Lytechinus pictus: one gene and its partner. The main gene of each other region encodes a partner of the protein of the gene in region 2 in a complex. Links are inferred from orthologs where the notes say so. Each region holds a gene or a part of one and is shown on either strand. Other genes may lie near its edges.

Evidence for each region.
Region 1: actin-related protein 2/3 complex subunit 3-like (region 2) and actin-related protein 2/3 complex subunit 4 share a complex: the UniProt entries of both Caenorhabditis elegans proteins name them as parts of the arp2/3 complex. The link is inferred for Lytechinus pictus from reciprocal best matches to the Caenorhabditis elegans genes arx-5 and arx-6.

What each region holds. Positions count from the first base shown.
Region 1 is NC_087247.1:40,224,710-40,241,298, forward strand, and holds the start of actin-related protein 2/3 complex subunit 4, read right to left. Parts: upstream 7,323-16,589; 5' UTR 6,466-7,322; coding exon 6,463-6,465; intron 1-6,462. UniProt on the Caenorhabditis elegans protein: Functions as actin-binding component of the Arp2/3 complex which is involved in regulation of actin polymerization and together with an activating nucleation-promoting factor (NPF) mediates the formation of branched actin networks.
Region 2 is NC_087246.1:16,002,686-16,020,028, forward strand, and holds actin-related protein 2/3 complex subunit 3-like, read right to left. Parts: upstream 7,232-17,343; coding exon 7,102-7,231; intron 6,365-7,101; coding exon 6,288-6,364; intron 3,912-6,287; coding exon 3,843-3,911; intron 3,086-3,842; coding exon 2,959-3,085; intron 2,742-2,958; coding exon 2,584-2,741; 3' UTR 944-2,583; downstream 1-943. UniProt on the Caenorhabditis elegans protein: Functions as a component of the Arp2/3 complex which is involved in regulation of actin polymerization and together with an activating nucleation-promoting factor (NPF) mediates the formation of branched actin networks.

The DNA of each region.
Region 1 (16,589 bases), on a different chromosome or scaffold from region 2:
TTGATTACTCATATGTCCAAGTTTCATGAACTAGGACCATATACTTTCTAAGTTATGCTTTCATGTCAAAAACTTAACCTTCGGTTAAGATTTGGTGTTGACACCACCGCCGTCGGAAAAGTGGCGCCTATAGTCTCACTCTGCTTCGCAGGCGAGACAAAAAAAAACAATAAAAACAAAAAGTAGAAAAACACGGAAATACATAAGAAAAAATTCTGACACCAAATTCTTTTTTTAAGTACATTTGATCAGGATCCTACAAAGAGTCTGTGAATAAAAAGAAGGAATTTTGGGGCCGTATGATAGTTGATTAGAGCAAATGTTTTATTTCATGCATAAATTAGCATAATAAATTCATTAAATAAAAAATCTTATTATTTCCAAAAAAAATTAACCATACAGCCTTGTAGATTTTATCACACACTAGTGACACTGTGCAAATTTTTGTGGCACTCACGCAATCAAAGGCCGAGATCTCAGGGGGGGCAGAATCCACCCCCCCCCCCTCCCCCGGCTGTGAGAGGGTTCTAAATAACCCGGCTCTTTTAGGGTTAATGTTATTATTCTTTTTTTAGACAAAAAGAACTTGAATATACAAGTAATGGGATGAAGTAGCAATCTTCCATTCAAGTCTTTTGCTAGGTCTACCGAAAGCATTAGTGTCTGTTTTGTCGGTTGTTCTGCTGGACTTGCTTCATTACACCTCTTCCATAGACTGAAGTCATTCCTTCACTCTGTACAGGGAACCTATGCCCCCCAAATTAATTCATCTTTTAACCATCAATAAAACAATCTCATCAAAATTCAAAATAAGGGTCTATGAATGATATTAGTTTGAGAATTATCATAATCAACACAACTTTGGTGCAATTTGATAACATAAAAATCTTCCAAAATCCCCCCCCCCCCCGGCCCTTTTGTGGGGAATGATACATTCAGCCTATAGCGCATACTGTAGGTCCCTCACATTGTGTGGGAGATGGCTATTTCACATATTTATATATTATATTTTTATACATAAAGTGCATATTCATCGGGACATGCATATTCAGTGAAATAATGCAAAACTTTAAATGTCATAACTTTGTTATTCCTTGTCCGATTTTGTCTGATCTTATTATCTGCTCAAATGTTGTTTTCAGCCTGGAGTATCCCACTGCTCATGTCTTTTAATTTTGAGGACCCATACCATGTCTTGTGATATATGGTATTTGTATGAAATTCTGTTAGATGATCATGATACATAAATCAAAGGGTTTCGTTTACCATATCAAGGACATTTTGATATGAACATTTTTTGCATATTTCAAACATCTAAAACTTACCCTCTTCATCACTTAAAAAAAATTCTAACAAATCAATGAATGAAGAGGTGCACTGTCAAGACATGTGCATTTAGCTGTAAAATGAAACCAAAATCAAAGGCCAAGCCCATATACACCAAATTTATGCATACTAGCAAAGCAACGATCCTATCGATTTACATGTAATGTCCACCGCTTCTGACACCCATCAAGCACCGCCAATTTTTCCTCATTTTATTGAGGGCAATGACACAAATCTATGTGTAAATGAGTTTATACCATCAGAAACGATCAGGTAGATTTTATACATGCACTCAGCTTTCATATAAATATTACACCAATTACATGAAAATAAGTCTCCACTCGGCTGAAAAATCATCTCATAATATGTCCCGCTCCGATATTTCTGGGTATGTTATATGAATGAAGATTTTCATGTTTTTTTTTTAAATCAATTATTATTGATAATCAGTGAATTGAACTGCCATGTGAAGAGTGTCGTCCTTCTTATTATAAACATGTAGTCACATTAAGCTTTAAAATGAGACCAATATTAATTATCTAGCCCCTGGTATACCAAAGTATGCCAACAATAACACTTCATTTATTTGCTATTGAAATGTAAAAATTGTGTCTGAGGGACCACTGGACAGTACAAGTACATGTAATTAGGTGATACTGCTGAACCAAGCTCCAACACCAAGCTGGATTCAGAATTGTGATAGCGATCATGTTAATGATAGCTCATGACATCACCCTGTCCTGGGGTGTGAATCATCTCAACATAATTACGCAAAAAATCTTGACAATGAAAGTGAAATCTGGAAGGAAGTGTAGTGTAAGAACTCATTGTATGGAATGCAAAGGCTAAAATCACTGCAAGAATCAGAAAGAGTAAAAATTATGGTGATGATTTTTACCTGATTGATAAGCATGAATGCTTGTAAGCAAGCAACTAGAGGACCGATGGCTTGAGGTCATCTCAGAGGGACCTGGTAATGAGGATTAATGCCTTACCAAAGAGCACTAGTGCATTGGTGGGAATCGAACCCTGGTCACCGGAATCCGTAACCCCACTATACCGACTGAGCTACATGTATCATGCCTCTTCATTGTTCATTCATAGCGAAAAGCTTAAATGATCAGCACTTAGCTGTAAAAACTAATATTTTTACTGGGAGTTTTTCATCCTGTGCTGCCTGTTTATGATCTTCAGTTCACAGACGCCATGGTCCAATGGTCCCAGACCAGTAAAAATTGCTGTCGGGCCAGTAGTTTTTCAGAAATAGCCAGATTTACTGGTCCGACATGACCAGTAAAAAATACATTATACTGATACAAATGATATTTTCCCCTCTTTTGTAAATTATAAAATGGCTCTGGCATCTTAAAAAATGGCTCCCCAGAATTGAGAAATGGCTCTCATGAATTATGTTGTGGGGGGCAATAAAAGCAATTAAAGTCAGCAAAATAAACTCGAAGTCTATTTTTATATTTTTCTTTATTTTGGGGGACCAGTAAATTGTAGGTTCGGACCAGTAAAAAATTGAAGAATTGGGGATCTACTGGTCTGACATGAACAGGTTGGACCAGTAGAAAAAAAAGGTTTAATGTGGAGCCCTGCCAAACTTGTCTAGTCCATAGACGTATCCGCTAGACCACGAAGGGCAAGGCGAGTCTAGGGAGAGCGGTGTTACAAGGTATTTATTCAATGTATTGATGCTTGATTGTCGTAGATGGCATTATCATGATTAAGAAGTCAGTGTGGGATAATGCCAAATGTTTAATTCATTTTGTTTCTTTCTCCTTTTTTCTCGATAAGAAGAAATACTAAGCTTTCAAGTGGCTTTCTTTGTTCTTTTTCTCAATAAGAAAACAAATGCTATGCCAAGGCTCGACATTAGCGGTGGCCCGGTGGCCCGGGGCCACCAGAAATTCACCTCGGGCAACCATTAATTAAAAAATATTAAGTTTTGGTGGCCCGAATCGGGCAACCAATAATTTTCAGAATAGCGCAATTTTTCTCCACATTTTGCACGCATTTATCAACTTTCTACAGTTCAAATTGCAAGCCAGTTTGTCATGCGCCCTTTTTGTTGATCTACACACAAAGTTGGCCTGCCGCTACAGCATTAAGTAGCTTTTATCCAGCCGGCTGTGCCGGCCGGCTGGCGTGAGCTTTGCATGCTTGAAGCAGCTGTGCGTTAGCAGCCTATTCAGACTCAGGGAGCTGCAATACGAAATGTTGCTGCTAAGAAATCTTCCACAGAACTGTGAAAATCCAAGCCAAAGTCACATTTTACACCAATGAAATGCCCTTCTACAGACCTTTTTGCTAAAATCTGGTGTATCCTGATAATTTGCTAGCATTAAAAAGAGGAATCATGACCTCTCTTTTGACTCAAAAAGACCGATTTCCAAATGAAAATAATACACATAAAAACACATCTTTAGGTGAGTACATCACAGTCCCACATGTGCATTTGTATGTATGTTGTTACTTGGTTTCTTTCAAAGCTGTGTCTTTTCCGGTCTTTTCTAGCCAAAAATAAACAGACAGTTACTTTCTTTCTTGTTTATAAATGATTTCTTAAACAACTCTTGAGAAAGTAAATACTTTGAGAAGGCATTTCATTCATATGAAATGTGAATTTTTCCAACATTTTGGCAAATTTAGGGAAGGAATTTTCTCACACTTTTTTTTGCCGTTTTATTATTTTCTTTCATTTTTTTTGACAGTGGTTAAACCATTTATACCCACTTATTCATTTTTGATGTTTTTCTTTATATTTTTCGGGCCACCAAACTTTAATATCGGGCCACCAAAAAAAATTATTTGAAGGTTTTGGTGGCCCGAACGGGCCACCACCAAAAAAAGTTAATGTGGAGCCTTGGCTATGCCTTTGAACAGAAATTTGAGTGTAAAAGTGGGGGTCCCCTCCACGGCACATACCCACCAAGCATTATATACTGAGTGCCCCCCCCCCCCCCCGGGTTACCGCTAATTCCTTTCAAATGATGATCAAAACATAGGCATCCTCGATCCTTTCGTTGGTCATCATAAGCTGCCATCTTGGATGACGTTATCATCCTTACAGACGTATTTACCAGTCGCCATATATCGCGATACCTGCCCCTGCGTTGCGCTTGTCTATGTGCGTTCGTTCAGAACTTTTCGCTCGCATTTGATTGGCCAGGATATAGAAAATTCTAATCAGAAAGCCTTGATAAAAGCCTAACTCAACTAACGTAGAGGGCAGCAACATACAAATTTAAAATAAAGGAATAAATCATCGGTAACATATATTTTCGAATTTTATTAGAAAATTTGTTGTAACAAAAGAAAGATTATAGTCTAACAAAAATAAAGGCCATCGTTCAAGATAATATAATGTCATTTAGACCTTAAAAAAAAATTAAATCTAGACAAAACACGAAAGGCCCGAATTGGGAGAAATGATTACACACGAGGGCTCGCACTAACGTACTACTTTCGGTAAATGGGGATGAGAGTTAAGTGTCAGAAATCAAAGGTCTCCAAACATGTGATACTAACCAATTTTATGGCATTTTAACCTCCATTTGATACAATTATCTTACATGTACCTTTGTCTGCTTGATTTCTTTTCTAAAGCTTTGCAGAACGATCGTGACATGCAAATTAGGGTCACAATTTTTCACGACACTTTTTTTCAGCCGAGCGCGCACTAGTCTATCGTCATGGAATTTTGAGATCACGATACAAGCAAAACCCTTGACCTACTTTATAATTCTGTAAAGCGAATTTGACTTTGGGATCATGACGCTCGCGTCCGTAACGTTGGGGAAGTACAATAAGAAACAAGATGGCGGCGTAAACATCGGGCAAGTCTCTTCCGTCTTTTCACAATATTTTTTCATTTTTTTGATGAATTCTTGTTTTAAAAATAACAACGAGAGCGTAGAAATGTCGGAAATGAAGTTTTATCCCATGTACATGATTTAGAGCTAGATCTTTTAGAAGGAAAGTAGAAATCTCGGGGGTGAAAGTTTCAGGTTTTGGCTTCCATTGTGTGGGTCTATGGGATAGAAGGCCTGGCTTCATGAGAGTGACCTTACGTTAGTAAATGATTTTTACTCTCTAGAAGCCGCCTGGCTAGGCCTTGCCAGGTTTTAAACTAACCCAGAGAGCTCCCGCCCGCGCAGCGGGCGGGAGCCCAGAAGCTTACAGTGTATTTTACCATTGTCACCGGACTAGGGTGATTTATGGTCTAAATATTTCTCCAAATGAATTGTGAAAACGGAAAGTATACAATTACCACGATTATATGGATGAAGGTCTAACGAGTGGCAGATTCCTGACATCTGGGCACAGTCTGGAACCTCAAAAAAACGAAAAGTTCTCTCCTTTTACCCAGTCTCGATCGGCCATTTTGTTACGATTTTTAACAAAAATGGCCGATCGAGACGGGGTAGAAGGAGAGAACTTTTCGTTTTTTTGAGGTTCCAGACTGTGCCCAGATGTCAGGAATCTGCCACTCGTTAGACCTTCATCCATATAATCGTGGTAATTGTATACTTTCTGTTTTCACAATTCATTTGGAGAAATATTTAGACCATAAATCACCCTAGTCCGGTGAATATGGTCAAATACACGGTAAGCTTCTGGGCTCCCGCCCGCTGCGCGGGCGGGAGCTCTCTGGGTTAGTTTTAAACATGTTATTGTTAAACTTAGTTTTAGTTTTATTTTGTTGTAATAGTTCAAGTTGTATGAACTATGAAGCTGAAACTCTGTGTGTTCTGTTTCGGATCACTTTGTACAATACATATTTTCAATTTAAATTACATGATTAAGGCATCTATTTTATGGTATATTGGGATGTCAAAATTATTTGGATAACCGGAAGTCAATTGTAATGGACAGCGGCGCAGCACGGACAGGTAGCGAAGACCACCAGGCAAGCCAGGCCAGAACGCTCCCGTGGATGAACTGTGCCTCGACCATAAAGGCGTAAGTGAGATATTCGACATCCTTTTCCGCGTTCAATTTAGACACCTTTTAGGGCGTTACCAGTAAACTTGACAACAAGCCTCTGACTGCCAATGGTTACATATAAAGTGAAAATACGATAAATATCGATTCACAAAGTTATTTTTTACTAAAATAAATAATACATACCATCTTTTATCGCACTTCCTACACTACCAGGATCGGAAACGCCCGGTCATCAGCACGAAATGCCTCTCCTGATTTCAACTCAGAGGGAGCCAAACAAGAGTGATCAAACCCAAACAACGACGAAAATGTGGTGGGGAAGCAATCGAGAAGATGCGTAGAATGTGGGAGGAACGAATATAGTATAACCATAGAGATGTATACATCTCTATGACTGCAGGGCTCGACACTAGCGCCGGTCCGACGGTCCCAGACCGGTAAAAATCACTGTCGGACCGGTAGATTTTCAGAAATAGCAAGATTTACTGGTCCGACATGACCAGTAAAAAATATTGTCGGGCCAGTAATTTTTCCAAAAATAGCAAGATTTATGGGTCCGACATAAACAGTAATAAAAACTATTGTTGGGCCAGTAACTTTTTCAGAAATGGTCAAATTCGCTAGTCCAACATAAACATGAAAAATATTCCATGACTCAAATTGCGAACCCTTTTCCTCCCGTTGAATTCTGGCATTCACACACAGAACACACACAGAATGAATCGCATGCAATTTTGATAGGGTAACATACAGTGTACACGTGGCTAGCCAGCCACACAGCCCACATGGTAAATTTCCTACTGGCTGCACGGACGAAGCTTGCTTGGCTAACCTCTGGCAGAAATCTCTCACAGAACTGTCAAAATTCACATTTCACACTAATGAAAAGCTCTTATAATGTCCATATTTCCTAAAAAATTGCCAAAATTGGGGTAACTCTGTCATTTGTAAGCAGTAAAAGGAGAAATTTTCACTTCTGTTTTAGTTCAAAGAGATCGGGTTTCGAGTGATATCGTCTGAATACATGATAGCCCCACATATGCATTTGTGTGTGTGTTGATACACTTGGTTTCTTTTGTAGCTAGTACTAGTATATTTTAATTGAGCCAAAAAGAAACTGATAATTTATTTATGATGATAGTTTTAGCTTTCTTCCTTTGTTTTCTTTCAATCTTTCTTTCCTTCTTTCTTTTCAATCTTTCTTTGTTTCTTCCCTCTCTTCTTTTACTGTCTTTCTTTTTTAATTTTCCCTTTTTCTTTGTCTTTTGTTCTTTCATTCTTTCTGTCCTGTTAATATTTTTCTCTATTTCTAATGCTCTTTCTTTTTCTTTCTTTTTTGATTTCCTTCTTTCTTTAATTCTTGAGTCCATCCATCCTATATTTATCTCTTCTTTCTTTCTTAATTTCCTTCCTTCTTTTCCCCTTTCTTTCCTTCATTCTTTGTTACTTTCTATCTTTCCTCATTCCATCCATCCTTTCTTTACCCTTTCTTGTTTTTATTCCTTCTTTCAGCCCTTTCTCTCTTTCATTCCTTCCTTTCTTCTTTGTCTTTTGTTCTTTCTTTTTCCCCTTTGTTCCATCTATCCTTTTACCTTTTCTTTCTTCCTTTTATTTACTGCTTGCTTCCTTTCCTTTCTTTCTTTGAAGTTTGGTCTTTCTTTTTTGTTCTTCCTTTCATTTATTCTTTTACATTTTCTTTCTTTTTTTTATATTGCTTGCTTGCTTCCTTCCTTCTTTATTCCTTCCCAACATTCCTTTTTCCTTCTATCATTTTCCCTTTTCTTGATTTCTTCCTTCTTTCAATCCTTTATTTCTGTTTTCCTTCTTTCCATCTCTCCTTTTACCCTTTCTTTCTTTTTTTATTCCTTCTTTCCTTCTTTCTTTCATTACTTTGTCTTTTGTTCTTTCTTTCTATATTGATTGCTTCATTTCTTTCCTTCTTTCCTTCATTCTTTTTTTCTTTTGTTCTTTCTTTCCTTCCTTTCCTTCTTTGGTTTTTTTTCCTTCCTTCACATTTTTTCTTTACTTTTTTCTTCCTTCGTTTCTTTTATTCTTTCTTTTTTCCTTCTTTCCATCTCTCCTTTTACCCTTTCTTTCTTGTTTTATTGCTTCTTTCCTTTTTCTTTTTTCATTACTTTCTGTCTTTTGTTTTTTTCTTTCTTTATTGCTTGCATCATTTCTTTCCTTCTTTTTTTTTCTTTCTTTCTTTCTTTCTTTCTTTCTTTCTTTCCTTCCTTTTTTTCTTTCGTTCTTTCTTTCTTATTTTTGTTCTTTCTTTCCTTCCTTTCCTTCTTTCTTTCTTTAGTTCTTTCTTTTTTTCCTTCCTTCACATCTATCCTTTCTTTACCTTTGCTTTTTTCTTCCTTCCTTCCTTTCTTTTATTCTTTCTTCCTTTCTTTCTTTTTGTCTTTCATTCATTCATTCCTTCATTTTTTTTTGGGGGGGGGGGGTAACAAGAAAGGACAGCAAAATAAACTCACACCTTTTTTTAATGTTTTCTTTATTTTTTGGGACCAGTAGATTTTAGGTTCGGACCAGTAAAAAATTGAAAAACTGGGTATCTACTGGTCCGACATGAATAGGTTGGACCAGTAGAAAAAAAGGGTTAGTGTGGAGCCCTGCTATGAGTATAACCAAAATATAAAGCAATAAGTAAAAAAAAAATATATTCATATAACACGTGAGAGTTAAAGGGAGCTTGAATAAAAAGCTATCATGGCAGTCTTAATTCGATATTAATTATTTTACAAAGGGGGAGGGCCTCGTCATACCGGAAATAGGAACGCTCTAGAATTAAAAATTAAGTACATCGGGGGCCGGGGGTATATTTTGCCGTAGGAGAAGGAAACTATTAAAAATTACAACTTGATCTATTTGGGAGCAGATTCTATTCTTGTCTGCGGGGTAGGGTGAGGGCTGAAAATTTTTCATCCACGTTTACCCTTTTTGTTTGTTTGTCTCTCTGTACGTCTGTTTTTACAGTGTTTATTTTTTTACTATTTTTTTGGGGGGGTGGTCATCCTTAAGACTGGAACTAAAATCGATGTACATGCCTTTGTTTACGAACTACCCTAACTTGCCATAAGTAGGCATATATTTTGTCCCATTTACACTAGAATTAATCTTTGATTTTTTTTGTAGATAAAGTTACTTTGTTAGTTGTACGTCTTAAATGTTCTAAATAAGGCCGTATGATATTTCGATATTGTGAAAAAAAATGTTAATGATATAGGTACCTGATGAAGGGTCTCGAATGGCTTATGCACAGAGTCAATACATTATTCATCAAGTAGATTCTTTACAATTGACACAAACTGTGTAATGTGTAATTATTCATTGTGTATAATGTAATCGTCAAATCAAAGATTCGGGGATCGAGGACATATATCAAGCTTATTCACCTAAAAAATAAATGAAGGAAAATATAGAAGCTTGTTTCGAGCCAGAGGAAGGATGTAAAAATAGAGTTTCTAACTGTATACAAAGTACAGGCTTTGTTGCAAACATCGACCCCCTGGCGGCCTTTTCACACGACTGCCGGGGCGCGACGTTATACTCAACAGGCATCATTCAGCCCATCCGGCATTAAACAGGGGCCACAAACAATACAACATTTGATTAGATCTTTTGTTATTGTCTGTTGTATACAGTATCGGACACGTCCAAGCGAAGAGTGCGGGAGCGTTGGTCAACTCTCTGGACATACGAAAGGTCAAGATATAAGTGTATTGGTGAAGTGCTAAAGGAACTGATGCCGAAATCTGTAGGAGGTGACCGATGAATGTTCTGCTCGCTTTTTGTAAGTCGAAAATGCGTTGTAGGGTCAAGAGAATATCGTAATATGATTGTTGTGGTCGTCGGCATGGTCGAGTTGCATTTTTTGGTCATTTGCAATTACACGTGGAGCCGGGACGTGGAGTCACTCCTATACAGAACCTACAGAAGTCCTCTGGAGTAGTCCACAAGCGACTGCATCAGCTGGATCCACATCCTGACTTATGGATCCTGCTGAGTATTGTCGTAGAAGTAGAAGCCCTGGTCGAACTTGACCATATCTATTTACATGTATAAGGGTAGACGCCGGGTAGACGCTGTGCAACGCCAATTCAACTTCAACAGCAACTTTGTGATAAACGAAAATGATTCATGTTTAATTGTTTAAGGATTTTTCTTATATATTATTTGTTAATTTTGGGGGGCGTATTTGTTTTTATGTCACCGATATTATCAAAAAAAGTACAGAAGACCGATATCAGGAGTTAGATGAAACTCAAAGCATATCCATAAAGTCGGTCGTTATGTTAGTCTCTACTTGCCCAGGCCTTGAATCATGAAAGATTATCTTCAGGTTTTTATCTTCATGATTGATATTTTCAGTGGGGGGGGGGGGGGTGGCATATCTTTCATGGCCTACATATCCGGGCTATATACTGTATGCATGATGCAGATCTAGTGCGAAGCGCGATCGTGCTGAAAATGTTTGATACTGTCCTGAAAAGAGAATGTTTTAAGCACATGTTTGACTTGTATGAAAATGTGAATATATCTTACTTTGATGTGCAAGCGTAAGCTGATTTTTTTTATATCCAGATCTGAACATGCCGAAAAGGACATTTTAAGCACCCTTTTCCATTAGTGAGATCATGAACAGGATGCATTCGTATCTCAAAAAAAAAACTGCGAAGCGCGAGCGAAAATTTATTATTTCCTTTAGTGACCTTATTTATTTCTTCCAGTTTCCTATTGCCCCATGTCCTTATTTTATCCACTTAACTTCTTACACTTGTCTTTTTTTTCTTCTTTTTATCATCATTATTTTAATTCTCCCCTTCTTATCCCTTTTTCCATTTTCCCTTTGCGCGACGTCAATGGGAGGGTGCGGCCCCGGGGTGCGGCTATAATATACTCATTCGCCTGCCCCTAGATTTGCATATACGTTTATACTAATCGATAATTTTATGTATACTATAGATACATCATAATACATTGGTATTAGTATGATAGATCCAATCATCATCGCTGATGATTAAAATTTTTTTTTTCAGATGAATTTGAAGGGGGGGGGCTATATAGGTGTCGAATTTTAAAATTATACCGCAGTTTTCTGGCACAGGCATGTTTGTCTTTCAAATTATATTCACAAATGTCTATTGTTGATTGCAGGTGTGTCGCCGGCAGCATCATGCCCGAAGGTCCGAGCGTTAGACGGTGGGGTAACATCGCTCGTCAATTCCTCAAGAAACGCATCAAGGAAGTGAAAGGAGTCAGCAAAGTTATGGAACGCGAGAGATGGAGAGGTGCATTCATCAACGATGTTGTCGTTTACGGCAAGCAGTTGTTTTTTCAACTCCTCAAAGAGGGTTTTTCGAAAGGGGACACAAGTGACAAGGAATTGGACACACCCAGGAGGAATAAAACGCGGAAGGTGCATGATCATCGAGAAAAAGACCAAGATTACGGAGAAGACTCCATCTGGTATCGCTATCACTTCTTGATGTGGGGTAGCCTTCGCGCGAACGAATATAAAGAACCTTCAAAGCGTTCGAAGAGAGCAAAAAGGTTAGACTCACCGAAAGCTCCGAATCCTATGGTCGAGTTTCTATTTGAAGATACGACATTTCTCGTTTTCTACGGCGGCAGCATCCGTATTGTTGACGGACCATGCAAAGACGAAGGAACCGATGTTCTTTCCGAGACATTCGATGTCGAAAAGGCGACGGCAGCGCTACAGAAACCAATACCAGTATGCTATACCATCATGGACCAGACATACTTCGCAGGAGCTGGTAACATTGTCAAGAATGAAGTATTGTATGCATGTCGGAAGCATCCTCTTGAGCTAGGAAGTAATTTGACCCGAGATGAAGCAGTGCAACTCGCAACGGAAGTCTTGCGATTTACAAAGGACTGGTTAAAATGGGAGGAAGAGTTGACAGAGTACAAAAAATTTGGCTCCTGGTTAAAAATGTACTGGAAATTTAAATGTCCCGATGGTCATAAGACAATGAGAGGATTTTTGGAGATGAACTGAAGCGGATGACGACATGGTGTCCTGAATGTCAAAAACTGAGATATGAGAGTGATGTGTCAAAGAGCGAACTGGAAAACATCGGGAAATTCAGGAAGACTACGCATGTAAAACGAATAAAGGAAGTTGCGCCCAATGATGATGATGATGTGAAACCATCAAACAAACTAAAATCGAAAAAGCTCTCTGGTAAAAGAGGAGCGAGAAATAACAAATCAACAAACAACATCTTAGGAATAACACAGGAAGATGATGATGATTTTTATCAAGTGTTTCGCACATCGTGTACATCAAAATCAAGAAAGTCTAGGAAAGTGTCAATGACAAGAGAGAAAACCATATCAGGCACATCCAAAGCTGAAGAAATAGATGACATTTTACACAGCTTTTCACCAAACAAGCAATCGAGAAAGCGAAGACATTCGGAGATGGCCAACTCGGAACCGAATGAAAAAGACAAACATGCAGATGTCAAACATGAATGCCATCGTGGTCATGAGGGTGTTACAACAGGCACAAGAAAAAGTCTGAGATTGAGAGCCAAAGTTGAAAGTCAAGGAAACAAGAGTGAGAAATCGGTAAAGACAAAATAAAGTTTCCCCTTAGCACATTTAACAAAACAAGGAAAGTTAGATAATGGCAAATGAAGCGATCAAACAAGATGTACTAGGTGAATATCTGATTGGACCGCAAATATCATATAAACTAAATGTATACAATGATGACTTTGATATAAATGGATTGTTTTTGAAAAATATACAGGGAATGATTATTATCGTGGGTGGGAAAATAAAAAGGAGCGATGAGATGCTCAAATGATACGTGGCACATAATCATAATGGTGTCAGGGCAGGTTTTTCTCTCATAATTCGTTCTCTCTTCTATACTAATTCGTTTCATGACCTACAACTTGTAGCGATATCACGATTTTGAAAGCAGGAGTGGGGGGGGGGGCGAATGGAAGGCAAAGGTTCTAACGTGGATGGGGCGGGATGTTGCCCCCTTTACGGCTTTAATAAGATTCTTAAGAATTATGTACGGTGCATTAACAAGCGGTTGTGACTGAGGAGGAATTGCTACTTATAACTCGTTCCATCAACTAACTTTCAGAGAGTCACGAGTCTTAGAGACCGAATCATCTTAATGAAAAATGAAGAAATATAACCTTTGGATGGTGGGTATATACTAGCTGAAGACCCAGGAAATTATTTGTCTGAGCTTTTATGGATTTTGATATTGGTACGTGATGGATGATGTAAAGTAAATATCCCGGCACATTGTGCAAAATATCATTTTTCTCAATTTTAATATATTTTGGGGAGGGGGGGGGGGGCTGCATTGGAATCTGAGAATCAATTAATTCTGATCCTGATAATTAACAATCATGACATTTCATTCAATCGTTGGCTGTTTGGAAAAGTGTCTTTAATTATTGAACGAAATATATATTTCAGTTTGACCAGCAAAACGAATGCATTTACTTTTTGGTTTTTGGCATGATGTATTTTAACTCTTTGGTCGAATTACCATATATATATACATATATATATATATATATATATATATATATATATATATATGTAAAGTTATACATGTACAACAGCTTTGGCAACTCTTTTTATTTATATTGTAAAGAAATGGATGAAGAGAACAATGGTAGGCGTAGCTTAAATCAAGGTTCCCCAGAGCTATCTACCCTTTGGATAGCTCTGGGGAACCTTGATTTAAGCTACGCCTACCATTGTTCTCTTCATCCATTTCTTTACAATATATATATATATATATATATATATACAAATTATTAATGTAAAGTATTAATGCAGAATACTTAATGGTCGGACTATTCTGCCTGAAAATCAGAATTCTTTATTACTCTAATGACAACGATAATGTTTCATAAGCATTGTGATGAAAAAATATAATCCGGAGTTCCCGTTTTGTAAAGCTTTTTTAAAATTCTTGCCCGTATTCAGACTATTAAACAAAAATGTATAAAAAAGAACAACTATAAAGAACACAATTCATACAGTGTATCTTGTCTTACATTGCTTTTATCTAAACGTATTTTTTTACTCAGAGAAATGATCGTATTTGCATCAATACAATTGTAACTATATAGCAGTAATTCATAAACATGACTGTATATGATATGTTATGGAAGTCAATCAGATCTTTCTCCTCCTCTCTTTCTCTTTGTTTGTAATTTCGATATTTATTTTCTTTCTGAAAACAGAGAAAAAAAATATGTGAAGGTATACTACTTCAGAAGTTCAGACCCAAAAATAAATCAATTAAAATATATGACATTGTATCAAAAGGTTATACACTTCTTTTGAAATTCTGATTAAACGTGTTCAAAGACAATTTTAAAGAAATGATTAGTGTAGAGGCTACTTTAATTACACACGATTGTTACTTTGGTGTTGTATGAAGAGAAATCAAATCTTATTTTTTAGAAGAATAATCTACATGCAATGAATTTTCAAAAAAAAAATTGGGGTGTTATATATATTTCAAAGTTTTGCATGAAAACCGGTTTGCTAAAAAGTAGCAGAAAACGGTAAGTACATACCCGAATTTGTACATTTTGACGGGCAGAAATGTTCCCTATTTATAGTACTTTTAGTTCTTTACTTCTTAAGGTTTCTTTTTTGGAATTATTTTTACTATCACTTCGGAGTTCTCTCCAGCCTTATACACCGCTTATACAGATATATTTACCAGTTGGAATCTTTCCATGTTTACGACTGTATGATAAGTATAATAGCCAAGAAATATATATATTTCATTTCTACTCTGAAGCCAAGTAAGATATCGATCAATCGCACATTTTTTTAGCTAACCATGTATAATTTCTCACTATACCATAATCCCTTCTCCGTATATAGGATTACTGCTCAAAGACAGAGCGCCATCTCCCGTTTCTCTTGCAGTGAATTTCCTCCATCCCTGAAAAGGGGGGGGGGGGGGTTAATTTTTTCACTTTGTTGTTTGCTTCGGGGTTTGCTTTCTTTCACTTCAGCGGGGCAAATTTTTCAAACCTGAACCCCAGGCAAACAACCCCGACCCCGATTGATACATGGAATTAAAGATTTACTTTATGGTACAAAACTGGATTTTATTTCAAGTTCCCTAAAGACCTTAAATAATTATGTAGAGCAGGTTAAAAAAAATATAATTGTATGTGATCAACTCATTCTTTTATGCTGGATATATGGAAATTATGAAAAGAGGTTCATGATTATTATATGTGGTATACTGGCGTATTGGAAAATTAATAATTACATTTTCAGATAATACTCAGATAAAAATCTACATCTCATGACTACTTGTTCAGAAGACTGAAATTGAATAAAGATGAAAAAAGAAGATTACGTGGTTTACACAGGCGCGGATCCAGCCGGATTAGATAAAATACCATTTTAAGCGCCATATTGGTTTTATTTTTGTTTTGTTTTTTTGCACAATAGTCAACCTCTCAAAACTATTGTGTCTAATCCGCTTAAAGATCCACACGGGGGGGGGGGGGGGCGACCTCTATGTCTTTTTAAGTAATGAAATTTAAAAAAGGAAAAAAGAACTGAAAGAAAAGAAAGAAGAATATAAAAAAGAGATATCCTGACCGTATAACTCTATTTGATAAAGATATGACAACACTTTCGGCGGCCTTTCCCACCTTAAAGGAGAATGAAACCCTTGAAACCAGCTGAATCCATATCAAAGAGAAAAATCAAAGAAACATATTGTTGAAAGTTTGAGGAAGATTGAATGAATAATAAGAAAGTTATGAGCATTTGAATATTGAGATCACTAATGCCATGTAGTTCCTCCCATTGGCAATGCGACCAAGATCTGTGATGTCACACACGTACAACTCTCTCATTACTTTAGTACTTATTTCACTTATATTCTCACTTTTATAGAGTCTATCACAAGGTGAGGTGTTCTCTTTATGAGAGGACAAGTACAGAGGTTTCACGACATTATATCATTGATGAATCGTTTGTCATATGATTAGAATGAGCAAAAAGAGATGTTTTGGGGTTTATTTTCAGTGTCCAAAAGGGGAGAGCTGTTCATCTGTGACATCATAGATCTTGGTCGCATTGCCAATGGGAGGATCTCCATAGCATTAGTGATCTCGACATTCAAATGCTCATAACTCTTCTATTGCTAGTCCTATTTTACTCAAACTTTTGTTGATCTTATTCTTTGATTTTTCTGCTTTCACAAAAGCTAACTTGCTCAAAGAGTTTCATTCTTCTTTAACAAGCCTATAACC
Region 2 (17,343 bases):
TTTTGAATATAATAATTTTTAATGCACCTCAACATATCGAGCAAGGGGATATAGCTCAGCGGTAGAGCGCTCGCTTTGCATGCGAGAGGCCTCGGGTTCGAACCCCGATATCTCCAAATACTCCTTTTTTTTTCCTTTTCTTTTTTAACAATAATTCATTTTTTTTCCTCTCAAGACATTTTGTTCTCTCCATTTGCCATTACTTTCATCCGCAAAACTATTTCTATTGTCAATGAAATACAAACACTTCATAATTGTGCATGACCTAATGGCCCTGCACTGTATCACATCCAGAAATGTTGATTTGCAAGTCATAGTTTGGGATCAAAATTATACTAGCAGTCATAACTTTCTCATGGCTTTTCAATTTTTTTCAAACTTTCACAATTCGGTTTTACTTATTTTTTCCTCTCTCATACAACATTTTATGACCTAGGTTGGATTATTCCCCTTTACAAGCTATTAAAATCCTTAGTTGAGAGTAAATGTTGAATAGTCTTGATAAAATGTTACATGAAACTCTCCCATGGCTCAAAGGGCACCATATGTCAAAAGATAACTCACGATATTATATTTCACTAAAAATATTGTTTTGTTCTTAGATGTAGGAGCTTTGTAGTTTAAAGGGATACTCCAGGCCGAGAATATTTATATCTTAACAAATAGAGTAAAATTCAGAGCAAAATGCTAAAAATTCCATTAAAATCGGATAACAAATAATGAAGTTATTTAATTTTAAAGTTTAGCAATATTTTGTGAAAACATTTATATTCACGTCATCATGAATATTCACTAGGTGGGCTGATGATATCACATCCCCACTTTCCTTTTTCTTATGTTATTACATGAAATCATAAATGTTTCATTTTTTCATACATGTGTTATTCACCAAACCAATTCTGGACTTAGAAATTTGAATAAAAGCGTCTATGTCACTCCAAAATTTTGATCTAAGTGTGCTTTAATTTTTTATTTCATTGATACAAGAATGAGATTAATATAAATACAATGTTGGAAAGAAGTTTCTCATCATTTAACATGTGCACATGGAACAATCTCTGTACAAATCTAAGTACACATAATTTGCTTAAAGAACTAATCTATGGAATAACAATTAAATGTGTCATTCATTTCCTACCAAATTAGTTACTTGCTTACTAATGGAATTGGTAACACTGACAAGAAATGCATTTGATGCCAACATATTTCTCCTTGCATTATTTTTATTTATAAATGCCATGGGTGTACACAAAAATCATAAATAATTTTTCATCAGTCTAATAAAGAAAAAAAATGTAATAGAAAGTCTGCCTAATCAAACATTCCAAATAAAACTCATGTTTTCAAAATACATAAATATTTGGGGTTGTTGGAATGCTAATAGGGTACTTCAAGTAAGTCAAGTAAGAAAATTGAAAAGGGAGAATGTTTCTGTACTACATGGGTTGTTGTGCATAATAAAAAATAGCCTTTTTCCTGATTAATGAGAAAACCAGGAATAATGAATATGCATCATTGTGCAGTGCACATATTCCTACCTTCATAATATTTAATATTTTAGGTTTTATCATATACCTCTTGCAAAGATTACTGACTGACTGCTTTATAAATTTCAAGTGAAGTAAATGGAAATCATACATATATCATGTGAGATGCTTTGGCTTTTGTGAGCAATATATTTTCAGGTATTTCCATTTATGTAGGCCCCTCCAAAGGCCTAAATTATCCTCAATACCGGCGGTAATCATGATTATTCTCACTAAAATCAATATTCGATTACCTATGATTACTACTGGAAATTACTAAATAACGATCACGTAATGTTTAAAATTTATCAACTTTTAGAGCATTATTTTCCAGAAGGCACTTGATCCACTTTGGATACCGGTGATAAAAACTGGAAATCTAAACATTGGTCACACATCTACCTTTTCTTTAGACGAAATCCGAGAGCTAGTATGGGGAAAATTCACCTACTAACATGTTTTTTCTGTAGATGAATGTGCAAAATTTATAAAACAAAGATATATCTCTGATGTAACAGAAGCGTATCGAGTGTCTTTTGGAGATTGATAAAATTTCATTTTAAAAAGTTATAATACATCCTCTTTCTATTATGGACTCAATCTCATGTGTATGTGTGTGCACTATGCATCATGTCTCTCATTTGGGCACGTAAGAAGTTACATATATGCCCTATGTATTACCAAGAATTGTTAGTGTGTATTAGAACTGCCAGTTCTATATGTATGCGATCGGCCAAGTCATGGCTCATGGACCTGAGCAAAAGAAGATCACTTTAAATAGAGATGCTACTTAACATTGAAAAAAACAAAATTAATCTAAAATAGAGCAATACACCCTTTTGTACAAAAAATTTGGAAAATGTATAAATTGCTCCTTTTGTCAGAGAAGTAGCATCCTTGTTTAACTGATGTGACATCCACCTCAGGCTTTTACATACACATGTATGGCTTACAGCAGGATACTGCTATATCTAACTGAAAGCAATGACATGATAGGTAATACATGGGACTGAGTATAATGGAACTGCCCTATATAATTACAAAAATTATTAATTCTTCATTGCCCAGGGCCAGAGAGGCTGCGATCCATGAATTTTCTCTTGACAAAGCACATCCAGAATTTGCTTGGTTTGTTGGTTTGTGGATCCATCACCTTCTCCACCAGGCGCAGGCCGGTTTCCTGTCTCAGCTGCTGTACGTAGGCCCTCATTTGGTCTGGATACACAAAGGAAAATTATGGAAATTAATTTTTTTTTAAATCAAGACAAGATTACAGTAAAATCAACATCTATAAGTTCAATATCCTGAACGTTTGGAAACCTGATTCTGCTTGACATGTCTCAGTGGTTCATTACTTTGCAAAATTTCACAGTTGGCTTTGAGAAACAACACCTGATCAAAAAGACTGTTGTACGGCCTTTATTCTTCCTACCTTCTTCTCCCCTGTTGGTTGGTTTTTGATACATGGCGTTGAGGGGGAAGCCTGCTTCTCCTGGAATGCTGAACTTTGCAATAGCTAGAGAGGCCATCTCTTTTTGAGCATCAGTTGTAGAGGAACACTGGTGAGGTAAATCAACAAAATGAGAAGCACAGTGAGTCGTTTTATCAAATACAATCAACTGTACTTTTAAAAAGCTAGAATCAGCATGCATGCTGAGACCTTTACATGCGATGTCTGTGAATTGCCTCGGATTTTTATGTGGTAGAATAACAGGTACATGTAATTGATAACATTAGCCATTATCATCATCATTCATTTGAATATGTATGTGTTGGTATCCTTTAAATAGTCTGTGACAGTGGACTTTCTAGAAGATAAACAATCATCTGGCAAGTCAAGCAATCTTTCAGACCACATTTTCCTAATCACAATTTGCGAACTTTACCTCTTCAAGTCAAACTTCTTCGTAATGGTTAATTTTGGCTGAAGAAGATTGACATGTACTTAGGCTGAATGACCAGTTTCATAAAAAAAACACACACACACACTTTGTTTCCAGCGACTAGTTCCATACTGCAAGTACCTATGTGATAGGCTAACTGGTAATTTGAAGCAGGTCTAGGACAATAAAAATGGCATATTTTACAGCCACTTTCCCAATCACCCCCCCCCCCCCCCCACCACCACCCCCATTTTTTTTCATGGAGAAATCCAACTAAATTAGAACAGAAAAGATGCTGAGTGTGGTCCCCAACTCTGAAATGATAAAGTGGGTAATATTTTGTCAAAGGACCTCACCAGAAATAGAAGTACACAGATATATATGTCAACATCATTTGTACAGATAGTACCATTGGGGAAGACTTTTAACTTACCCTTTGTAATTTCTTTAGGCACTCTGTGATGTACAATGTGAGGTAGATGAGTACCCTATCAGAATCACCCTGTCAAAATATAATTTGATCAAACCACATTATCTTAAGAACAAAAGATGAGCCTAAGAATTACTAGAACAATATTAACATGGTTCTTTGTTTGTCTTATTCTAATAAAAATATGATTAGTTAAAATGATTAATTCATTAATTTATCATCTCTTTTCGTAAATTATCTAATTCAACACTCACTAAATCAATAAATAATCAAATAAAACCTATCAATTAATCAATCAATAATCCAATAAATCAATGATCTATCTTCGATCAATCAACAAACTATTCATTAATTCACTCACTCATTCATTCATTCTTTCAATAATTCACTCTTTCATTCATTTATTTATTCATTTATTCATTCATTGCACTGACGCCTACAGGCGACAATGCTCTGTTGTTGTTCCGTATTCCTATTCCGTCATCTTCTTCTTCTTCCACAAAATCCCATTTGTTTAACACATGGTTTTTGTTAGCTCTGCCCTGGCTCCGTCCCTCATCCAAATTCATCCAAACTTGGTAGACATGTTGTCCAGCATCCCTAGTTGTGCACCTCGTCTTCCATTTTCCAAAATCACTCATGCATGACTATCCAGGCGCCATTTTGTAAATTTCAAGTCCATTTGCATACCATTCCTAATCCCGTCCTAACTCCCGAATCCTGCATGCTACAGACTTCTAACAAATTGCAGTAGATTGTTTAAGAGTTGCTCTTTCATATAAATATACAACTTGCCCTTCAAAATGCCGTCTTCTTGCCCTTAATTCAAATCCAAGATAGTCTACGTTCAAAATTTTCATATTTATTGAAATGCAAATTAGGAAAATCGTAAAATGGCCATAACTTGCTTGTTTTTATTAATTTCCGTCTCATATTTTCATGGTTCACTAATGGTATCATCCTTCACAATTCAACAAATTTTTTTACGCATCAGTGACCATTAAATTTACAAATAGTACCCTCTATTGCAAAGTCAACAAATAGTAAAATGACAATAACTTTGTTGTTATTCATTTCGGTCTTAAATTTTTAGGGTTGGCCTATGATATCATCCTTCATGATCCATATTCTTTTTACGCATCAGTGACCATTACATTTAGAAATAGCGCCCTCTATTGCAAACTAAAGAAATATCAAAATGGCCATAAGTTCCTTGTTTTCATTCATTTCTGTCTCATTTTTTCAGGGTATGCTTATTGTATCATTCCTCATAATCCACATGTTTTTTACGCATCAGTGACCATTACCTTTAAGAAATAGCGCCCTGTATTGAAAAGTCGAAAATAGTATAATGGCCATAACTTCCTAGTTTTCAATCATTATGGTCTCATATTCAGAGTTTGCTAAGGGTACCATCCCTGATAATTCAAACGTTTTTTACGCATCAGTGACCATTACCTTAATAAATAGCGTCCTCTATTGCAAAGTCGGAAAATAGTAAAATTGCCATAACTTCCTTGTTTTAATTTATTTTGATCTCATATTTTCAGGGTTTGCCAATTGTATCATTTGACATAATCCAACTGTGTTTTACGCATCAGTGACTATTCCTTTAAGAAATAGAGCCCTCTAATATTTTGAAAATGGATATCATCTACAGTTTTCTCTCTTCTGTTCCTTGCCCTCTATTAAAGGAGAATGAAACCCTTGAAACCAGCTGAATCCATATCAAAGAGAAAAATCAAAGAAACATATTGTTGAAAGTTTGAGGAAGATTGAATTAATAATAAGAAAGTTATGAGCATTCGAATATTGAGATCACTAGTGCCATGTAGATCCTCCCAACGGCAATGCGACCAAGATCTGTGATATCACACACGTACAACTCCCTCATTACTTTAGTACTTATTTCACTTATATTCTCACTTTTATAGAGTCTATCACAAGGTGAGGTGTTCTCTTTATGAGATGACAAGTACAGAGGTTTCACAACATTATATCATTGATGAATCGTTTGTCATATGATTAGAATGAGCAAAAAGAGATGTTTTGGGGTATATTTTCAGTGTCCAAATGGGAGAGTTGTACGTGTGTGACATCACAGATCTTGGTCGCATTGCCAATGGGAGGATCTCCATAGCATTAGTGATCTCGACATTCAAATGCTCATAACTCTTTTATTGCTAGTCCTATTTTACTCAAAGTTTTGTTGATCTTATTCTTTGATTTTTCTGCTTTCACAAAAGCTAACTTGCTCCAAGAGTTTCATTCTCCTTTAAATCACAGGCGTCAATGCATGCACATCATTCTGATACGATTGCAGTTCTAGTTCATACATACTTTTGTTCTTTCAAATGTCCATCCATCCATCCATCCATTCAATGCATACATATTCAACATATTCAATGAATGACCAGTAGACGGATAGATTTCATCAATCAAACCTACCTTTATTTCATAATTTTTGAAGAAAACGTTTGCCTTGAAATAGAAAAGGGCTTCATCAACGATGTCATTCTCTCCAGCTTAGAGGGAATGAAAGATAGAAAAAAAATAATGAAGATCGTAATATCTAATTCTAAAGAAACATTCATCAGCAGCAATTTACAAAAAAAAAGAAAAAGAGGAATGATATTGATTCACAAATCATATAACAAGATACAAGTACCTACATAACTACTTCAAAATATAAGTCTCACCCAACCCTATAACAAAAAAGGTCAAGTTCATATATATGCTGTAACCAAGGATGGCTATTAACCAATTAAAATGTTTCTCATTTTGAAGTGAAATTTACCCTTTTATAATTAATTAAAATGATAAGAATTAGAGTGCGGACTACTCCTGTAGTTTTTTAAGTGCTTGAGCAATGATATAAAGTTACACTTTCATCGTTATGATTTAGACATTTTCTTTCGATCTATTTAAGGGTTAATGTCAAAAGAATCAGAATGAAATACAATTAGAGCTAAAGAAGTAAGATATTAGAGAGATCATAATTCACAGAATACTGGCCCTGTGTGATTTACTAATAGATACAATAAATTTCAGAAGAATTAGACAAATATAAAATATAGAATAGAAATGATTCTATCACACTTGAAACCCATTTAAGCCATGACATTAGTGAATCTCCCCTAATGGATGATTATGCCAGAGTAAGGTAGTCTCTTTCTAGCCTCCTGTCTTTTAGAACTTGATTACTGTTGTAGGCCTATAATGCTTATGGATTTGAGAATTTAGTAAACATGGGTCAACTTACTGCCAGGTGGTGCTGGTCCTCTGTACTTGGTATTGAGAGGTAGAAGGGCCAGGTTTCCAATCTTCATATTGGTACTCAACTGTGAGTGATAGGCCTGGATATGACAAAGCAATTTGGACATTGATTTCATAGCATTGGTTCTGGGAAGCCAATTTCAGGGAGTAACCAAACTGTTCATCAACACTTGAAATTACAAGTAGAAATCAAGACCAGCAAAAACATCATCATGTAAAACAGAAAAATAAACAAAAATACATGAATTAACCGACATGAATAAGAAAATGTTAGTTTTTACTTACATGTAGTACCGGTACAGGTTGTATATATTTGTAAATTCCTTGCTGAAACATCTAATATTTCCATCTATATTTCTCAATAATTTATCATTTTGTTTCTTTCTGTATCTCATTCTATTTTCTTTCTTCTTCTCCTTCATTCTCTTCTCTTTGCCTTCCAAGTTCTATCTAACTTTCTTCATCATGCTGTTCTTTCCCCTTCTCTAGTCAGATCTAGACCTATCTTTTTTTTAAAATCAATTCCTCCCTTTCTCCTTGACCTTGCTTGGCTTCGCTTCCTTCGCCTACTTCAAGGCTTCATTCTTCTCCTCCACAAACATGTAGCTTTAGATCTAAAATCTACCAGTCATTAATGTTTACTGCCATGACTGCTTGGCTTTGACTGAGCTTTGGTTCATTTTGAATTAAATTTAATTACTTTTCTCATCCTCAGACTCAGTCGATGCAGTCTCAGCTCCCTTTTCTACACAATTTTAAGCCTGGTCTTGAGCCCCGCCTTGCCCAGTCCCTAATTGCCTTACTCCTTTGTCTCATTAGCTTGACTCCACCCAGTCCGAGTCCCAGTTTCAACTTTCAAGTCCTGAAACCAAGCCTAACGCCCTAAGCATGGCTGAATTCGAATAGACTGGTTTCCCTTGCCTTGAGAAGATCACAACACAAAACCTTACGAGTGCGACTGTATGTAAGTTTCAACCCAAATATTGACGTTAATTTGAGGTTAAATATTAAATGTATGAGCACCAAGCTAAGACAGGGGTATAATATCAATTGTAAGAACACTCACCGGCATTTTGGTTTTCAAAATATGGATTCTTCACGGCAAATAAAATGAAATCTCCGTCTTTTTCGTGGACAACAATTGAGCCGTCGTTTCTCACTTCCGTGTGTGACACTTCCGCGGTACATACTCCTCATCGGCGCGCGCGGCGGCATATCGTAGCGCATATTGCGTATCAGAGAGAGTGGGCGTGTGCTCTCTCGCTCCAAAACACAGCTGCACATGGTGTATTTGGGCCCCTTTTTCATGTACTTTACACACCCCCCCCCTCCTTCCCGCATGTACCTCTTTGACAATACTGGAAAAGATTACTAGACCAAATGCTTCGGTCTCTGTTATGTTGGTTGTTTCGCTGAACTCCGTTGGCTCCACTCACCAAATACAGAGGAGAAATTTAAAATGTTAAAAACTCCTCGAAACCATGGAGGTAGAAAGAAACAGACGGCTGCCAGCTGTCTACTATAAGCCTAGCAACTTTTTACTACCTGTATAGATCTAGAAGGACCATCTGTCTATTATAAAATAGCGACCACAAATTCCTTGATAAAACTGAAAAAATTTGGAACACTCCAAAGCGAGGAGCAAATTTTTTGACATTCTATATAAAAAAAAACGGGGACTCTTTTTTTTGTGACAAATTTTGAGATAATAGAAAAATATATTACATTTCACTCCTTCTCCTTGCACTCTTTTTCCATAAGCCCCGCCCCTCCTGTGCACCACTGAGTGCACCACTGAACTACGGTATACTTGCATGGGGTAATTCGTTTAATTACCAACTGGATAAATTGTTAATTCTTCAAAAACGGGTATTGCGAATAATTTGCCATTCTGACAGGTTAAGTCACACAAACATTTTATTTTTCAACAATAAAGTATTAAAGGTGCATGATTTATATAATTTATTTTTAGGGTGTTTCATGTTTCAATTGAACTCAAATGATCTTCCTCATGCTTTTACATCACTATTCCAAAAGAATCAACATTTGCATACTTACCCTACCCGACAGTCGTCATTCTTTCACTTGCATAGGTTGAGAACAGTACTTAGGAAAAGAACGATAGTATATACTGGTCCAGTTTATTGGAATTCCTTGGATATGACACTTAAGCAACTACAAAATTATAATATTTTCAAACATCACTTGAAAGCAAAGCTTCTTCTTCGATATAATGAAACAAACTGAAATTGCTATTTATTGGCATGCTCTATTGCATTTTTGTCCACAGAGCTTATTATCCAGAAGTTTCTTAAATTCTGTTGGATGGCAGCTGCTTACTTTATTTCTTTTGTTTTTTTATTTCTTCGTTTCTTTCTTTCTTTGTTTTTTGTCACGTTTCTGTGTTGTGTTGTTTTTGTGGGTGTAATTTAATTGATAAAATGTTGTCACGTGTATTATTACTAAGTAGTAATGTCAAATGTACTGTATAAAAAAGGGAACCTTATCTACAAGCATTCTGCTTCCAAGGTTTCCTCCACTTTTCCGTTTTTTTATGTACTTAAACATGTATTGATATGTAGTGATTAAGAATGCTTGCTATCTATACTTATATAGTCTACGTCTGTAATGGTTGCTCAGCTTAGTTATGTCAGTTAAGTTTTGTAACATAACGGATTTGTGGAAATAAAACCTAAATGAAAATGAAATGAAATGAGTGGTTTCACTGTAAAAGTAGGCCTATAAAGGAATGTTCTCAGGAGCTAATTCTGTAAAAGTATAAGCAGATGTTATAATATCTATACCACTTTTTGAAAATTGTCATCGTATCTTGCTGAATGATAGGGGGAGTGTGTAAAGATAGGTCTCTTTTCTCAATGTGCTCCTTTGTTTTGTTTTCGTATAATTGTTTAAGTTATTTTTTTATCATATTTTTTTCTAGACGTTCAATATTAAGTGTATTCCCCTTCTCACCATATCTGTCGTCACCCCGATCACCAGTTCAAAAATTTGCTGAACGGTACGTACACAAGAAGAGTCTTTGCGTCTCGATGGTAGACAGAATAATAACATGCTGACCCTCAAATAATTATGTTAAAACTCGGGGATTTCCATTGATTTTCACAGAGTCCGGTGTCGTGGCAATTCATTTCAAGACGGCCAATACAGTTTTAACTAAAAAACCATACCACTGTTTAGAAAAAAGAAGCCTTCTTGTTGGGTCTACTCATTATCATGTTTGCAAATGCGGATCAATGGGGGGGGGGGGGGGTGGGTGCCCCCATATTGGCGGCGCCAAGGGGAAGAGAAAGATAAGAGGAAGTCATGAGTATAAGAGAAGAAATTAAGAAAATGAATGGGGGAAAGGGAGAAGAATAATTGGAAAGAAATTACAAACGAACGCGTTATTAGGTAGAGGGAACGAGTTATAACTTGAGTAGATGGAACGAGTTGCAAGGTTTTTTTTGGGGGGGGGGAGGGGGAGTAGCCAGGGTTCTGTATATAGCAATGATTTTTGGCAGAATATTACGCTTGAGGCTGAGTGAGTACCTTTTAAGCATAGCCCATTTTTTGTGAAGAAATTAGGTTTGCGATGGAATTCTAAATGAATACGTTAAGGAAGAAGGCGATAACACGACGGAACTCACCATGCTCATATAGGCCTATATATATTTTTTAAACCATTTTTTCCCTCCGCGATGATGCCCACAAAAAACGACCACAATCATATGAAATGATTATTATGGAAAGATGAATAAGTTGAAATAGCAGTGAAGAACACATATTTCCTGAAATGTCTCACATTGTATTTTCAAGCCAGATCCCCGGCGTTATCCCCCCTTTCGGGGAAAACAAAATTACATTGCAACTTGTTTAAACTGCTTTGCTATAAATTAACATTTTAAGTAAACATATAACTTCAAAGTTATTTGTGCCAGCTGGATCATCAGAGGAATAAAATAAAACAAACAAATGTAAACAGAAGTCAATTTCATTTTTTATTACGTTTTGTCCCTTAATAATTCACATTATTCAATATACTTATTTCTCCCCCATTTTCCATGCATGATTTCAAAGAAAAAAAAATAAAGTCCACTTCTTACATACAAGAACTACAAATCGCGATGGTTTATATAGGCGTGGGGGGCAGTAAGGCTTTAGTTTATAGAGGCGGAGTATTTCCTTTTCTGTGACTGAACAAACCACATGATATCAGACATGTAGGCCTATAGTAAACTCCAATATAACCTATTATCAAAAAGAGAAAAAGGAGAGGCAGACCACATGGATTTAAATAACTTTAATCATGTCTTTAGAAATATTAGAAGTTAGAAATGAAATAAGATTTTTTAAACAGATACTGTACTTCCAAAATTATTCCTTCAATTTACATGTAAGTCTTTAGAAATGTTTGAAGTTCAAAATGAAAAATCCAAAACAGATAGTTCTAAAAATAATTCCTTTAATTGAACAATGGAGGTAAATGATTTAACATGTATATATTACATGTATGTCTTCAGAAATACCAGAAGTACAAAATGAAATGAGATTCTGAAACATATAATTCAAAAAATTCCTTTGAATTAATTAAAGTATATATATAGGACTTTAATACCTGATATAGCAAATTTTCAGTGGTTACATGATATAAATATTCACAATGTGTGGGTGCTGTGGCATAATTCAAATTGTGATCAATCCACTTATGCATCAAAGTGATAGACAAATCACACCCCATGTTTCCAATATTATTCAAACTATTCAAAATTGAATGAAATAAGAAAATATGAGCATGTCAAACTTCGCATGGTGCCCAAAACGGTGAATAAGGCAATGCAAAGCTGAGTGGAGTGGTGTCACACACACTTTATTGCATTTTATTTCATTAAATAGCAAACAATATGTTAGGATTTTGGCCAAAGAACAAAAAACCTGGTCATGCAATCCTTTAGTTTGCATATTCTGAAACAAGGGAGAGATTCTTTAAACACGTTAAAGAAGAGAAAATTATGAATTTAAAGGGGAAGTTTACCCTGATAAGATGGTCTTAATAAAAGCAGAAAAATTAGAGAAAATTAACCCAAACATTAATTTTTAATGTTTTTAATGTGACGATGCAAGCAAGAAGCTCCCCCATACATGGATTGATTACTGTGATTTTATGTTTCAAATTAAAAACACAAACACCTGCTAAAAATATTACATAATATAAATTCATGTTTTTTCTTATAGAAGGTGGTATATGTGTCTGATGATATACCCACTGTACAAATAGAATCACTTATGTATCTTTGAGAAAATGCAAGTTTTGTGAATATATATCAAATATAGAGATGCTGCTAGTCTTTGATGTCACAAAATCAAAATTTAAAAAAATTCACATCTCTGTTATTCTTTGACAAATTTTCATTAAACATTGACCAGTATTTTTTCGGTCAATTGCCAATTCATCTACTGCCGACTCGTCCACTCACCACATGATCTACCTTCATTTAGTCTAATGCCATTCCGTCCAACATTTCGTCTAGCAACTATTTGGTTCAATAACCATTTGGTCCAATCATCACTTCTTCTAATCACCAGTTCATCTATGACCATTTGGTCTAATATTTTATTTTCATTCATTTTGCCCAATAAACACTTAGTCCAATTAGACCAAATGGTACATGTATATGGACTAAATGGCTATTTGATGAACTGGTTATCAGACGAAATGGTGAGTGGATGATATGGCAATTAGACCATGTGAAAAGTTGACAAACTGATGATAGACCAAATGATAGTAGACAAGTTGGTAATTGGACAAATTGGCATTGGTCGGACTAATTGAAAATAAACCCTTTTCTCTATTTTTTTTCTGAATTCATTCAAGTGAACTTTCCCTTTAAAATCTGATAAAAAATACAAAAAAGTGCTTTTTCGACTACTCTGTTTCACTAAAATAATGAAAACCATAAATAACACGATCATTTTTTTTTTCTGATTTCAATGCAATATTCACATTTGATTTATTTGAATAAACTTAACTTTAGGGTCAACTTTCTCTTAAAGTTTGGGAAATTTCATGAAAATTACCAGCACTAATGTTTGCTCTGAATATTTCAGTGAAATCCTTGGTTTCGGTTGCACTGGTGAATATTAAAAAGAACATCACCTTATAAACTCTATGATCAGCCTGAAGACTCATTGCAAATTACAAAATAAAATATTGGTTACTTGTCCAAACTTCCACAGAAAAACTTCATTTAAAGTTGGGGGGGGGGGGGTTCGAGCAACTGGTACATGTAGCGATTGTTGATATAAAGACTAATGCAAATAGGACCAAATTTCATGTAGGTCCAATAATTTAGTCCAAAAGGTTTATCCACTTTTCAAGGAATAATAAATTTAATAATACTGATGATTTATAAATACATATACCTACACATAAAAATGTTTTTAAAAACATGCAAAATGATTAGCAAAAGTTACAGTTGTGTAAATAAAAATTGAGAAATACATATTGATTTTCTGATTAGAGAGTTGTGCAAATAATCATAAGTCAACTTAAATAATTACTAATGTGAAAATATTAGATGACAAGACTAAGCCCAATAACCAAGATTAATTAATACTGGAAAATTAATTTGAAACTATGAATGCTTATTTTGACTAATATGAATTAAGTGGAAGTACATACTTGACATAGTATTGAATTCAAACTTAACTACACATTAACTTAGTTGTATACAACAAACTTGATCAAGTCTAAAATTGCTCAGAGCACATTTAATCAGCCTTTTAGTCAAGTTTTTGCCTGATGAAATCAGTTATGTCAGTTACAATTTATCAAAACGTTTGACATTTATACAATTTTTGTGTTTCATTCAAAATACACATACAAAACTATGTATGCCCAGGCTTACATGTATGTCCGGCATTTCATGTTTTCCCCTAAAAAATTGATTTGACTTTCCCTCTTAACATATGAACATTTTGTAACTATATTATAAATCTGTTTCACCTCCAATTTATTTGATAAACATTGATCAATAATGTGGAATAAAAAATATATTAGCTATTCTGCATATAAATATCAATTTCAAATGATTCCACTGTTACAATGAGTAAAAAACAACCGACAATACTATTTCTTTTCCCTCAAAGAGGTGGGTGTATTGATGAAAATTGGTACATATTAACAGTCACTAGAATCTGTAGCCCTAAAGGCGCTTCAAATATGCCTTCAAAATTCCTCCCGGGCAAGTGGAGAATGTGAATGCGCATGCCGGTAGTGGAGCGTGAACATGAACAAGCAAGATTAAATCTGATGACCATGGGCACATTCACTAAAAGCCTACATTTAATACTAAACAGGTGCTCAGTCAGTAAAGGCTCAACTTTAAAATCAGTCTAAATTAAAAAACAATTTGATCCAGAATCTGATGTCCTACCCTCTTCCATACCTCCATAGCACACGATAAAGAATGCTGATAGATAACAGAGAAATCATTATTTTAAAGTAAAAATATGAACTCTTTGAACGCTGAATTAATTTTTGGGGGATAATAATGACAATTGTTTCCATGTTATTTTCTTTAATTCAAGATTTCCATATTGCAGAATTGATACTTATAATTATTATATAGATGTTATCCAAGAACTATTGCCTTTTATTAGCTTCTCTAATTTGAGGTAGGGGAGAAAACTAATTATTACCAATGTTGAATATACTTGTACGAATGTGTAATGTTGCAATATCAGCGCGTAAAATCCCAATTTATTTGGGTGGATGACAGGATTTTGCTTCTCCCTTAACCCCTCTCCCAAGATCTGCCATCTTTAATATTCACACTTTAAGAATTATGATAAATGTGCACACATTTAAAGGAAAACTGTGAGATAATAAAATTGAGGATAAGCCTGCACTTTAAGGCTAAATGACATATATCAAAGAGATAGAATATGAAAAGAGATAAAGAAAAAAAAATAGAATATGATAAGGGTATTGCATGGCATTCATTCTTTACATGCTATCACAAGTTTACATAAAAAATATTACACCATCACCACAAAAGCATTCTAATTGATAATAATTTCAAATTGCATAAAGAACAAACTTAACCGAACATACAAAAAAATAACTTCACACTGTGCAGAGATACATATATCAGAAGGCTATTTTTCATTTCACATTTTGAGTGTGCTTAAAGTAGTTGGGAATTAATTTGTAAATTAATTTAAAGATAATGTAGAGAATGTAAATGAAAGCAACAAGAAACATATGAATCAAATAAATTAGTTGCAAAACTCAAGACTCATACATGCCAAAGAAAAGCCAGGGGGCCGTTTCATAAAGCTGTTCGTAAGTTAAGAGTGACTTTAAGAACGACTGGTGAACCTTTCTTACGTGCTTAACCATCGCCAATGAATTTTACAAGGATCACCAGTCGTTCTTCAAGTTGCTCTTAACTTACGAACAGCTTTATGAAACACCCACCAGATCATATCAAAGTACACACAAAGATTAAAATAGTAGTACTATAAAACTGCTGCACATACAATGCTGATAATACTGGAATTTGAGATATTACATGCAAACCTATATTCAATCCACATCCCATTAAAATATTTTTTTCATGTTAAATTTAAAAAAAAAAAAGATTTTTTTTTTCTTTTCTGAAAATAATAATTTATGTCATACATTTCCCCCCTACATGTCCATTTAAAGACTTAAAAAGATCACCTTGAAAAATAATAATGGAAAAATGATCACTTGGTATCTCTATATACTGCAGGTGATTTAATATCTTTACATGCTTTCACAATTAAAACCCCATTTTCCACCATAAATGCCCATAGTATGACAAGATTATGCATCACCATAAGAAATTAATATGACCTTTATATTCTGTTGATGGCTAGTTTGAGTAAAATATTTGACAATGCAGAGCTCAAATTATACAATGATGTACACATTATTCAACAAAATTTATTCAACAGCTTCTAATAGGGAAGTCACCTCCAAAATTTCTCCCTACGGATATAACATTGGACGTAAAGCGCAATTTCATTGTACTTAGTTCCTTTAAAACCAATGACAGAGAACAAGATAGCATAATAGTAAGATGGCATTTGATAAAATTCATCAGGGCACCAGGCATTCATTAAATTGCAAGGACATAGCTTGCTAATTTGAGGTTACATTTGCATATAAAAATGAGCTCCGATTGTGGTAACAATAAAGCCCAGTTCACTCTATGAGGAGCAGTTGCATTGCATGGAGATCCGATCACATCAAGTCTCAGTGCAATTACATTGCAGGCCAGCACACACATTGCAACAGCTCTGCATGGCACTGCATCTCATGGCACCTCTTCCTTTCTGCGTATGTTGTCTGCGCAGCAGAAGCGCAGCAAATTTGCAATAGCGTCATCGTCTAGGACAAATCTGATTGGCTTAAATTAGCAAAATCGCAGAAAGATTTGACACATCAAATGTCTAAGATTTGGTCAGCGATCCTACTGCAACAAAGCGGGTCACGGTTGAAGCGTGTTATAGGTTGGCGAAATCAAATCTTGGTGCAATCGCATCGAATGGTGTGTGTGCTGGGCTTAAGAAAGTGATTCCAATAGAATAAAAACGTGACCACCTTGTCATTACATCTCCAGAAATATATGTGCATATAATAGTAGAAAAGAGTAACTACCAGGTACTTGGAAATTGGCAAAAAAAGCAAGCCACAGACCTTTTCTCTAAGGTATATGTATGATATATCAGGTTAACATGTGCTGAATCATTAGAGTGATTTTCCAGCATTTCTCATTCAATCTTTAGTTGCGTTTCACTATTTCACAGTTTTTTACTACCTAAACTATGTAAGCATTTTCTGTGATCATGTGACAATTGCTGGGTTACTCTAAAATTGTACTTCAAGTACTTACCACATGATTTCTTCTATTTTTTTTGGGCAACAAAGCTTACCATTTCTTTAAGTTGTGGTCATTATTACTATTTGAAATGGGCCTATAAAAAGAATTAAGATGGGCCTTGAAAGATTTATAATTTGAGCAATATGGACCATGAGGTAAAAACAAGAGGTGCTGCAGGAAGCCCTGACCTAGAATAAATCAAATTGTAGCATACTAAAACATTGAGGCCCAAATTCACAAAGGTGGTTTTGGAAACCATTGGTTGAACCCATGGTTTATGCAGATTTCCTGTATAAATTACGCTTATGTCCAATGCT